Linked DNA regions of Xenopus tropicalis. The protein of the gene in region 2 purifies or fractionates together with the protein of the main gene of each other region. This does not show direct contact. Links are inferred from orthologs where the notes say so. Each region holds a gene or a part of one and is shown on either strand. Other genes may lie near its edges.

What was found. The genes of interacting proteins can lie anywhere in the genome.
Region 1: the proteins of rnf25 (region 2) and ube2e2 purify together in Homo sapiens (affinity purification with mass spectrometry; 3 studies listed by BioGRID and IntAct, counting the BioPlex papers as one, with this or other methods). This does not show direct contact. The link is inferred for Xenopus tropicalis from reciprocal best matches to the Homo sapiens genes RNF25 and UBE2E2.

Annotation. Positions count from the first base shown.
Region 1 is NC_030682.2:46,326,077-46,332,443, forward strand, and holds the start of ube2e2 (ubiquitin-conjugating enzyme E2 E2), read left to right. Parts: upstream 1-1,919; 5' UTR 1,920-2,234; intron 2,235-6,367.
Region 2 is NC_030685.2:13,921,819-13,927,654, forward strand, and holds the end of rnf25 (E3 ubiquitin-protein ligase RNF25), read left to right. Parts: intron 1-165; coding exon 166-235; intron 236-2,050; coding exon 2,051-2,122; intron 2,123-2,398; coding exon 2,399-2,497; intron 2,498-2,928; coding exon 2,929-3,018; intron 3,019-3,965; coding exon 3,966-4,100; intron 4,101-4,184; coding exon 4,185-4,589; 3' UTR 4,590-5,137; downstream 5,138-5,836. UniProt on the Homo sapiens protein: E3 ubiquitin-protein ligase that plays a key role in the RNF14-RNF25 translation quality control pathway, a pathway that takes place when a ribosome has stalled during translation, and which promotes ubiquitination and degradation of translation factors on stalled ribosomes.

The sequences.
Region 1 (6,367 bases), on a different chromosome or scaffold from region 2:
TGGCTACTTGACCAAACAGCACTCAAAGCGGTCACCTTTGTCACAGATACATCTGCAGAGAAAAGGCCCTGTCTTGTGTGTGCAGTGGTAGGCACAGTATTGACCCACCAGCATGCAAACAGTGTGGATATTGGTGCAACCATGCACAGTTTAGTTTTTCTGCACACATAATTTGCACCATGTGCACACTAATGGGCCAATACCATGCCTGCCAGTTCTCACACAGGGTGGGGCAGATGAAAGCAGATCGGCCTTTTCCATGCCGGGGCATCTATGCCAGTGAAGAAAATTCTGTGTGCCATTGGCCTAAGCCATTATTTATTATCTCCATCTATGTTGGAGATTGACTGATTGTTCTGTCTGGGCCAGTGATCTTTAGCTCTTCAATATGGTATTCACAGCTTATTTAATGTATCTGACTTTCCACAATATACATGATTCTGTGTGGTAGTTTTCTTTTAATATTGGATAATGTTAAAATTGAATGGATTGTAATATACTCATAATAATAGCTACACAGTTCTATACTAATTTAAATCATTGCTAAGAAATACCTTTTGAACCTACACAATAGTTTTGCTTTCCTTTTTATTATGAATGTCTGGGGGTGCAATTTCCAGTGGGTAACCTGCTTTACCGATTTTTTTAAAAATAAAAACCATGGGGCCTAAGGGGCAAAGGTTGTTGATTACCTTGGTCTGTCAGAAGGTGAATAGCTTCCTCTGCGTCTCTCACTGAGAAATCGAGACCTGATGGTGAAACTGGTTTAGCACAGATAAAGAGCCGCAGAAGTGCCAGGAAAGTTCTGTTTATACAAGGAAAAATCAATAATCACTCTGGAAATGACAGGAATTGACAGGATTAGTAATAAACAGAATTTCTTCGCAGGCTATTTTCAATGTTCAGCTGCACCTGGAGGATTATGAGCTGGCCAGCCCTGATGCACATGAATGCTGCTGTGCATATATCTGTGTTGTTCTGGCACATATTTATGTAGGTTAAGAACACAGATAGCCATATCCCTAAGCCACTTCCTGTCTAACTTTTCAAGATGTGTTTTTCCTTGTGGAGTAATATAAATTGAGGCAAATATTCAACTAAATACCCTCTCCCCTCTTTCATTACTTCCTGTAATAAATAGTTTTGGTGAATAGTATGCAAAGTAACCCCCCAAACTTAAACCACTGGCTGTAATAGGCAAATAAATGAAATATCATTCGTGGCCCTGTGCTGTAACACCTGTGGCCTTTGCCACAAAAAAATGACATCGCAGATACTAATAAAGATTTAAAATTGATATGGAAACAATTCACTCATGCTCCTAACCACCAATACCCTGTAAAGAGCAATTACTCGCTGGGACAGTGCCCTGGGAAAACTTCTCATATACATGGAAATCCCACAGCACTAATGCCTTGCCAAACAATATGTGAGCCAGTGGCCCCATGTCCATGATAGGAAAAGCAAGAGAGAGTTATTCAGGGCCACATTTGCACTCGTCTGGGCAACCAGCACTGTGTATGCCTTGGCACGGCGCATACTGCTCAGCACTCCATAGCCGCAGCCACATAGAATATGAAGGACCTGCTGACACAGCAGAGGAACCCTGTAACTTCTACATCATTGCTGAGTAACACACAGCTCAGCTTTATATACCCCTTGAAGTTATTGCAGCCCTACGTTTTCTATTTTCTGCCAAGCGGTGTCGGGAGCGCGCACTGAAACACTGACTCCATGTGCTCGCCCCCTCCCTCACGGCCTCTTTTCTCCCTCTTTACATCACACTCTATTTGCGCGCTCCTGCACTCCTTGGGGCGGGTCCATCGACGGCGGTGGGCGGAGCCGCTAGGAGTTGTTCTGAAGAGGCAGCCAGAGAGGGCGGCGACATACATACCGTACTAATACCCGCCCCTTTTGCGCGTGTCCGTGCTAAAATAGGAGCCTGTGCTCTGGATGTAGGGGGAGAGCTGCTGAGAAATAGGGGATTTACCATATGTAAGCGGGGCGTTTGGCTTAATATTTCTTGACGACTAGCCCTACGCACTTACCTACACAGGTGCCTTGGGGTCCGGGGTGACTGTGGATGTGTGTCCGGACCCCGAAGAGGTGTGAAAAGAGGACCCCCCGCCCCAGGGAGACAGTTGAAGGAGGAAGAAGAGGAGGAGGAGGAGGTCAGGAAGAGCTGGGTTCGTGTGTTGCACCCACACTTTGTTCGGCACCGGGATTGGGGGCAGGTAATGATTTGTCTGTGCTTTCATACAAATGATTGGTCTCCCATATAAAACTGGCTGTACAAAGGGCACAACAGGATGTATAGGTGTTACATGTGCCAAAGATTGGGAATGCAGTGTATAGATGTGTCTATGTGACCCATAACCTATATACAAATGTAAGGGTACATCAGCTCCCACTACATCGTGTTGTGCAGCCTACAGCTGGCCAGATGGGCTACCATCCTACTAGCCAGGCTAGGACTTTCATATACAGATGTGCTGTACATTAGGGAGGGAACCATGTTACACACACCAAGCTTCACTCAGTGTAGATAATGGAATCTTTTCTGCATTCAGTCAGTCATGGTTGTCCAGCCTGCTGCCCTCATGCTGGGGTTTCACTACAACTCCCAGCATCCCCCAGTATGCTTTGGCTGGTGGGGTTTCTTGGAACTATGGCTAAACAAAAGGTTGAGGGCCGACCATTTATAAGCAGAGGATGTAGCCCCAGACAAGGACATATGTAAACAATTCAAGTTCAATATTAGATTCTGTGTTCCAAGGAGCTTGCACTCATTCTTATTATCATTTTAGTGTGTTGGTAGTGTACAGTTTGTACATTATTTGATCCAGTTTATTAGCAAATCTGTAATTTGTGGATAGTGTAGCTCAATGCTTGCTCAACCTATTGCATGTAGTTGGCTAATTATCCAGTAAACCACATGTACAGGGGCTGGACTTTGCTGAAATGATGATGTCATATAAAGTCTTTGGAGTCCATGAGCCTGCTGGGGGCCATGAAAAAGACTTGGAGATCTACATCTGGCTTGTGGGCTTCCAGTTGGACAGCGGAGGTGTAGCATATACATCTTGATTTTGTTTTCATTGTGCACTCAACTAATAGATATGTGTGCAATACTGACAGTGTAACCAGTGTTGGATTGATTAAAACATGTTTTGCCTGACTCTTAAATGGGAATTCTGTTGTACAGTATGTTGACTTGCTTTACTTGTTCAACGTGCAGGTGAAAAAAGTGCATATATCATTATATCATTTCCTGTAATGTTAGTTCTCTTAGTATTAAATGGCCTAAGATAGCCATGTGCACAAAGATCCACTTGTTTAACAAGGTTACTAAATGAGTTGACTTTTGCCTGATTTTGGGAATATTGAGTGACCCATATTTGTTCTGATTTTATTTTTTCTTCCTGGCTAACAGAAGAATCACCCTAGGGGCCTATGCAGACACTTCAACCCAATAAAGACTTCTTAGATGGTATAATTTTCAAACCAGGGCAATAGATAAATGACTGATCTCCAACCCAGTATTGGAGGGCTTGGCTTGGAGTGGCTTAATCAAAGACAGTGTTGGATTTTTTGTAGTCATCTTAAAGCTAATGATACATGCTTTTCAGCTGGTTTACATGTAGGGTTGCCACCTTGCGGGTAAAATTGATCCTTTATGATTGTAATATTAATAGGGACAATAGATAAAAAAAATATAGGAAGGCTGGTATTTTTTTCCAGTTGGTGCTTTTAGCCAGCTGCTGAGCACCCATGATTTATCATCCTAAGACTTAGAGGGAGATTTATCAAAATGTGAGATTAGAGCTAACCACAGAAAAATTCACCCACTTTCTATTTATTCCTGAGGGATTTTTAGAAACATATTTATCAAATGATGGACTCTAACTTTCACCCTCTGATAAACATGCTTCTAAAAATCCCATAGGAATAATTATTTGATAAATACATTTCTAAAAATCCCTTAGTAATAAATAGAAAGTGGGTGAATTTCAGAGTCAGCTGTGCGACTACACTCTTTATAGATATAATCTATATATCTATATCTATATATATAATTATAAATGTAATCATTTTATGAATAAGCAAGTTTTTTTTAAAAACAATTGATTGTGCAAAGAAAAACCCTGCACAATGGGAAAAAAACAGTAGATACCAGATAATAAAACAACTTACTAGTATTTTCTGACTTTGTTTTAGCTGAAACCCTGGATTAAATGATCATATAATCAGCCACTTAGTGTCTGTTACTTGCATTTTCATAGCATCAAGAGCAAAGACACATTTAGCTACTTAGTAGCAGCTACTTGTCATGGCTACAGAATGCCAGAAAATACCCTGCCATATACAAGACTGAGAATTGCCTCTGCTAAAATACACGTAGAGACAATTATCAGTAAATTATCAGCATTGTCTGTTTTTGTAGCTGCTACTAGTAGCTCCAGGTGTCTTCACCCTAAAGGGGATCATAGTGACCCATTTTAAGAACTTCCTAACTTGATAACTCAAGCCCTACAGAGAGAAAATGAACTGAATAAGTCACATAAATAAAGGAAAATATGATTGGCATGTAGCAATTTAAAAACATCCAGTGTTGTGCAGAATGCTACACAGACCGAAAGCTGCAATGTCATGTATAAATCGCTATGTGAGTCTGATGGAGAGATGCAGCTAAACCATGAGTGGGATAGCACTGTTCTTAGCAATAGGCCGGGGATAGCCAATTGTCCGCAGTCAGTGAACTGCATCTCCCTCGTGCATGTAGAGACATGATTGCAGTTAAAGTGGCTTAGTGGCTGAAGCACCAAAAATACTCTGTGCCATAATCATGGTTTCTTATTGCCCAGCATCTAAAACACATACAAATTTGATTTCAGACATACCAGACTACATGTATTAAAATACAAAATGTGTAGTACTGTGTGTATGTACATTCCGTGATTTACAGCCATGTGGCTCGTGCAAGCTTTGTGTGGCATATGTAAATCTCTTGTATGATTTGAACAATTTGATAGAACTACAGTATTTATGTCAGTTACTTTACAATGTGAACATTCAGCTAATCTATACCACCTGTGGATGCACAATGTGCATGATATAAAATATATTGTGTGTAAGTATATATTTTCTGGTTTTAAAATGTGAAAAGGATTCTGAGTGATTGAATTGTAATCTCATGATAGGTATAGCAAGTAAACAGACCTCATGCTCTGTGCTTTAGTAAACCAACACTAGAAGAAATGCACAAGAGTCATATGGCACCTCTTTATGAGTGTGGTTTTACATTCCACCCACCATTTGCTTATCTAAGATAAGCACATTTGATCAAATTGATGTGTACAATGTTATAAATAAAGCTTTCTTTTTACACTTTCCATTGTAGGAAATGTTTTGCTCCTTTCACCCCCACAGATGCAGTAATTGCAAGCAAAAAGCAGACATCCTTTTTAAATGCTATTTCTTGCAATAGAGTCAATTTACCATGATGAATGTTAAGCAGGAACGTATAAGAACATGTTTTTTGCAATTTTTCGTGCTTTGCTTGTAAGTACTAATGCATTTGCTGGGTCCAGACCTGCTCACTAAAATTATGTCTGTTTTTGCCCTTCAAAATATTCCACATTTGAGTCCTGCACCATACACATACAAATTCCTAACGCTTAGGAGCAAGTGGATCATTTCAGCAATCATATATATACTAACTGCTTGGTGTAATAATTTACACTACTGACCATTCATATGAATATTATAGGAATCTATATCTACTGGTTACTGTAGAAGGAACTTCAAGCACAACCAGACACAGGAGTCTGCTATGATTGGCCTATGATTAAGTGCGCACGCGCACGAAACGCGTCAGGCACTCTGATTTTAAATGGAAGAATAAAAATCGCCTTTTAGCAGACTCCTGTGTCCGGTTGTGCTTGAAGTTCCTTCTACAGTACTGTGATTTTCTCCCCTTCGACTACGGGTTCGGGGCCTTGAGCACCCAGACCACTTTTGGACTCGGGTGAGCTTCTTTTGTTTTCAGATGGATACTGTTTGACTGGTTAAATCGTTTATGATCAATTGGGATCTAATGCACTGGAGATTGGCTCGGGATATTTACACCCGGGTCTCTTTTCATATTTGGTACGCTTTTTATTAGTATCCCAATTTGTGTTCACCTTTAAGAATATATATTTAGCAATACAGGTTTTTACCCTATTGTGGGTTTTTGTATATTGTATTATATATCTACTGGTTACACCTGTTAACACTCTGCCACACAGCCTTGTTTATTTTTAATTAGCCAATCTGTGTGTGTGTGTGTGTGTGTGTGTGTGTGTATATATATATATATATTTTT
Region 2 (5,836 bases):
ATAAAAAATGAAAATCAGTTTCAAATTGTCTCAGATTATCCCTCTCTTCACCATACCATTAATCTAAAGATGAACAAAACCTTTAACCATTATACCCATAATTTAGATTTTCCCCAATGTTTCATGATTTGGAGATAACAAAGAACTCTCCCTCTTCCTTTGCAGCATTGTCAGCTCTCTGCGCTCCGTGGCTGAGCAGGGGGTCGGCTGCCCAATTCTCTATGAGCTGATTGAGGTGAGCTACAGACATATAGAATAACTACAAACCCCTTCAGTCTTGTAGGCAATAATGAAAATTATTATCTTTAAAAAAAGATTTTAAATGTCCCTGCCAGAAGCACAATAGGAGCCAATCACAGCCCTGCAGTCACACAAGCACAGACAGGCTTCAGTTCTCTATCAGGTCAGCCTAGCTGCTGATTGGTTCCTATCCTACAGCTAGGGGCATAACTATAGAGGAAGCAGCAGGGGGGCTCTGGAGTGTAGGGGCCCCAAATAAATGAGCAATTTCAATATATCTTGGTAGAACAAGAATGTTTGGTAATGTTTTGGGGGCCCAGTAACCTCTAGTTAAACCACTGCCTACAGCGCAGGGTGCTGAATACCGTCGCCCCCCCCCCCCCAGCCTGGGAAAGGAGGAAGCAGGAAGTGGGGACAGATGGGTGGGACCAGAAATCTGCAGATATTTTCAATTAATCAGCCTGAAACAACTTTTCTCAGCACATTCCTTCTATATTTAGAGAAATGTAATGTATTGACACATTCTTGATTTTCAAACAATGTTTCCTTGAACCTGTCTATAATTATAGAAAGCTATACACGCAGTGATTGTGCCGTCCGTATATAATAGGCTCTCATACTTCCTTAGTCTCTTTAATTGACAGAAATAGATGACGGTCCCTCTTTCAAAATAGGATTTGTTTCCTGGAAAGCGTAGATATGCTTCACTTAATGAACTGAATTTGCTAATAACCAGTTTCTCCTGTAGAAGGTGCAGTCGGGTGTGGTTGGTACAATTAGGTAACCGCGATACATAATACATGTATGTGATACACAACAATCCTTGTTAAATGTGCTCAGCAATATCGTCAGTTATAATTAGTGCTGAGTGGTGTCATTTGTGTCACATGACTCGCTGATACTGATGTGTATTTTATAAATAAAAAAAAAAATACACTGTTGTAAGATATGATGATATTTGAGGTCACCTTAGCATTCCATGACCTGCAGCCTTGTGCCTTTATATGGGCACAGAACCCCTCAGTGACTGCTAATATCCTTATCATTTACAGTAGGGGGTACATTATCCCTTATAATACATGAGTGATACTCAGAGTTCCCTGTATAACTCAGCCTGCAGCCTTGTGCCTTTATATGGGCACAGAACCCCTCAGTGACTGCTAATATCCTTATCATTTACAGTAGGGGGGTACATTATCCCCTATAATACATGAGTGATACTCAGAGTTACTTGTATAACTCAGCCTGCAGCCTTGTGCCTTTATATGGGCACAGAACCCCTCAGTGACTGCTAATATCCTTATCATTTACAGTAGGGGGTACATTATCCCTTATAATACATGAGTGATACTCAGAGTTCCCTGTATAACTCAGCCTGCAGCCTTGTGCCTTTATATGGGCACAGAACCCCTCAGTGACTTCTAATATCCTTATCATTTACAGTAGGGGGTACATTATCCCTTATAATACATGAGTAATACTCAGAGTTCCCTGTATAACTCAGCCTGCAGCCTTGTGCCTTTATATGGGCACAGAACCCCTCAGTGACTGCTAATATCCTTATCATTTACAGTAGGGGGTACATTATCCCTTATAATACATGAGTGATACTCAAGAGTTCCCTGTATAACTCAGCCTGCAGCCTTGTGCCTTTATATGGTCGCAGAACCCCTCAGTGACAGGGTAGACACCAGTAATACTCTTCTAGCTGATATGATGCTGCTTCTCCCCCAATAGACAAGTTGATGGCAGACAAGACAAATAACATGCTTGACTTTTTCTTTGTCTGACCATATCTCTTGCTCCGCAGAAAGGAAAGGAGATGCTGACTGACAGTAATATCCCCCGTGGCCATTGTGTCATCTGCTTATATAACTTCCAGGTGAGCAAATGTGCGGGTAAGATACAAATCCTTCTTTTTATGCACAATAATGGGCTGTGATTGTTTTTACTTGTATGTTTGTGTTTGGCAGCGGCATAGAAACACATGTACAAAAGGGATCCTGTTTGACTGGTTGAGAAATGCCAGAAAAGATACAATGTGACATGTAGAATGGGGGTGCAGGGCTGTCTTCTTGAGTCAGGGTGAAGAGGGGCTTCTCTTCAGCTCTATGTATCCGTAAGCTGCACAATGCAAATCCGTCTATTTCATCCACAGGAGGGGGATTCACTGACCAAGACCCCATGTTTCCACCATTTCCATTCATACTGCCTGGGTCGCTATGCGCAGCACAGTACAGAACAGAAGCAGATGGAGGTAAGTTACAAACAGTCCCATATCATCCTGAGCCTGATGCCTGCAACTGCAAGGAAACCGTTCCCTTTCCGAGTCTATAGCAGTGATCCCCAACCAGTGGCTCAGGAGCAACATGGTGCTCACCAACCCCTTGGATGTTGCTCCCAGTGGCCTCAAAGTAGTTGCTCATTTTTGAATTTCTGGCTTGAAGGCAAGTGTTGAATGCAAACAGAGCCACCTATAGGCTGCCAAATATCCAATTATAGCTCTTATTTGCACCCCCAGGAAGTTGCTCCCCAACACTTTTTCCATTTGAATGTGGCTCACAGGTATAAGAGGTTGGGGATCCCTGGTCTATAGTAATAACATCTTTATCTTCAAAAAAACATATTTGTATTCCCTTTCCTATTTGTTCCTATATCTAGTGTCTATAACGCAGATTGTCTTTTCAGGAGCTTTCAGTTTTGTGCCCCGTTTGCCGCGAGGATGTGACCTGTGACATCATCAAACTACAAGCAGCTCCGCCCCCCTTGCACCCAGAGGTAAGTTCACCCGTCGACACGGTTAATAGCGAGTCATTGGTCAGGCTTCAGTAGGAGGCCGGGAGTATAAATGGTCATAATTGTTGTTATTGTGGGTGGTGTCTGATTCCCAGCTCTGTGTCATATTATGCTCCAGTAAAATATACCAACCCCAGCAACTAAAGACTATATTCCGGTAGGTCCTGAGTATCTCAACGTTGTAATTATGTGCAACAAAAACCTAAAATATAATGTAAAATAGCCTATGCCTCCAAGATGGTACTTGAAGGTAGATGGTAGAAGGAGTCCTCTTTGGTCCCTGTTGTCAGGGTCAGACTGGGGTGTTCAGACTGACTCCTGCTGCCCTCCAGCTCCTCCACCTCCTCCACCCCATGAGCACCTTATACTTAATTTTGCTGCAACTGGGGAAATGACCGGGGAGGGCAGGCAGGCAGGAATCAGGTCTGGGCCCCCGAGAGCCAGGGCTCACCAGGTTTTTTTTCCAAGTGTCCCACCGGCCCAGTCCAACCTGCCCATTGCTTATTAACTTATTAACTATCCTTCCCCAAAAGCACAGTAGGATGTAGGTAGCCAATCTCAGTCCTATCTTCACCTAGGGCAGGGATCCCCAACCTTTTTTTACAGATGTAAAAGTGTTGGGGAGCCACACAAGCATAAAAAAAGTTCTTAGGGTATGCCAAATAAGGGCCGTGATTGGCTATTTGGTAGCCCCATATGGACTGCTGGCCTGCAGGAGTAAAACTCTCTGGGCTTCCAAAACTTGACTCCAAACCAGAAATGTAAAAATGGGCAATTACTCTGAAGCCACTGGGAGCAACATCAAAGGGGGTGGTGAGCAACATGTTGCTCACGAGCCCCTGGTTGGGGATCAGTGACGTAGGGAAATATAAGGTGCAGTCCCCTGTCAGGTCTGGCGTCAACTGATCTGCTGTGTTTTGTCTGCATAGGAGATATATACCCCGGATTGTATCACCCTGGAGAAACAGAAGGAGCTGCATCAGATTTACCAGGCTCAACTCGCTAAAGGAGGGATAATTGACATTGAGGCAGAAAGGAACCGTTTTTTCATCAGCATCCAAGAGGTACTGAAAGGGAAATGGGGAGGATGTTTGATAAATAGTACCTGTAGAATGCCTATAATCTGCTTTATTTTCTTTGTTTTCCAGCCACCACCACAATTCGATGCTGTCCTTGAACCCCAGCCAGATGAAGTGCAGTCACCTCAGCCAGAGTTAGAGCCACCACCACCACCACCAGTGGAGTCCAAACTTCCCTGCTCCAGGGGCCACCCAGGCAGGCAAAGACCAGGGTACAGGAGTCAGCACTACCGGCCTGTACATACTGATCACAATGCCAACAGCCATCTGCACCACGGCAGAGGGAGAAAGTTCCACGGCAGAGGGAGACCTGAAAGATACGACTTGAGCGGGGACGGTAAACCAGCCATAAGTAGAGACCACGATGTGCCGGGACGGGGGAACTACAGGGGCCGCAATTTTAGGACTGGTGCAATAGTCCAGCCTCCTCCCAGAGGCAGAGGGGAACACTATATGAAACACAATCCCCTATAGCACATTATTTAACTGCCAGAAAATGTATTCAAAAAAAGAGATTATATGATTAATAAACTGAGGCAGCACCATTCCAGGCCGAGGTGCAATAATCAGACACTTGGTGCTGCGTGAACGAAGGGCAGAAATAAAGATTACGGGGGAGCAATGTTGCAGGTTCGGTTTGAATTGCCAGATGGCTGTGTAAATTATTGGCTGATCTGGGCCAAGGCTGCGTGCAATAAGGAGGGAGTCTAGAGGCCAGGGCATGTATGCACTACTCCAAAATGCGAGGCTGAACTTTATCATGTGGTTCTCTATCCTCTCAGCAGCCGTCTTAAAGGCACAGACTGAATCGGGACCCACATGGTAGTAAGTTCCCCCCAGTGCAGAAGGCTTTACATTGTGAGAAGCCAAGCAGTGCTTTGTGTGTGTGTGCGCTAATAAAAGCAACCGTGTGATGTGCTTAAAGAAATAGTGCAAAACGACATGAGGGCCCATTGTGCTCCGCCGAGTGCAGTGGATAAGGGGATTCTATTTATCAAAATAAAGGATGTTATTGCCTGAAATTCCTGTGTTTGCTTTAGTCAATGACAGTCCCCAGTCCCTTTTGTGCTCTTGTATTACAGCCCTGCAAGTCATGTTTTGTTTGTATAGCCGCCTTTCACTGCTCTTGTCTGGTCCTGTCTGGCATCAGCGCAGTGATGTGGCCCCCTTCCAGCTGGCATACATAGGCTGACATTATCCAGAAAACCAGCAACCACTATGGGCATACAGGCACTCAGGGCATCACAAAATATTCAAAGTTACATTAAAACATCTCCATGAACCCAACGCGTTTCATGCCGACATTATTATTCAGTAGGCAGTTGCACCGTGCTATAGCCACGGACAAAAATGAGCCTGGATTGGCTGACTTCCCTCAGGGGTTGTACTAACGGGTATAGCTGAGGAAGCAAGACTTAAGGTCCCCATACACGGGCCAATTGTAGCTTCTGATATGGGTCCCTTAGACCAATTCGGCAGCTTATCGGCCCGTGTAGGGGCAGAAACGACGGGCATGCCCGACCGACGTCTGGCCTGAAATTGCCCAGATATCGATCAGGCAGGTTAAAAGATTGTCGGATCGGGGACAGCATCGGCTCGTTGATGCGGTCCCCGAACCGACTGCCCCATTGCCGCCATTATAACTCAATCGTTTGGCCCCAGGGAATGTCAGCGAGTTTTTTTTTTTTTCATTTGGAGAGCCAAGGGGAAGTAACCCCTAT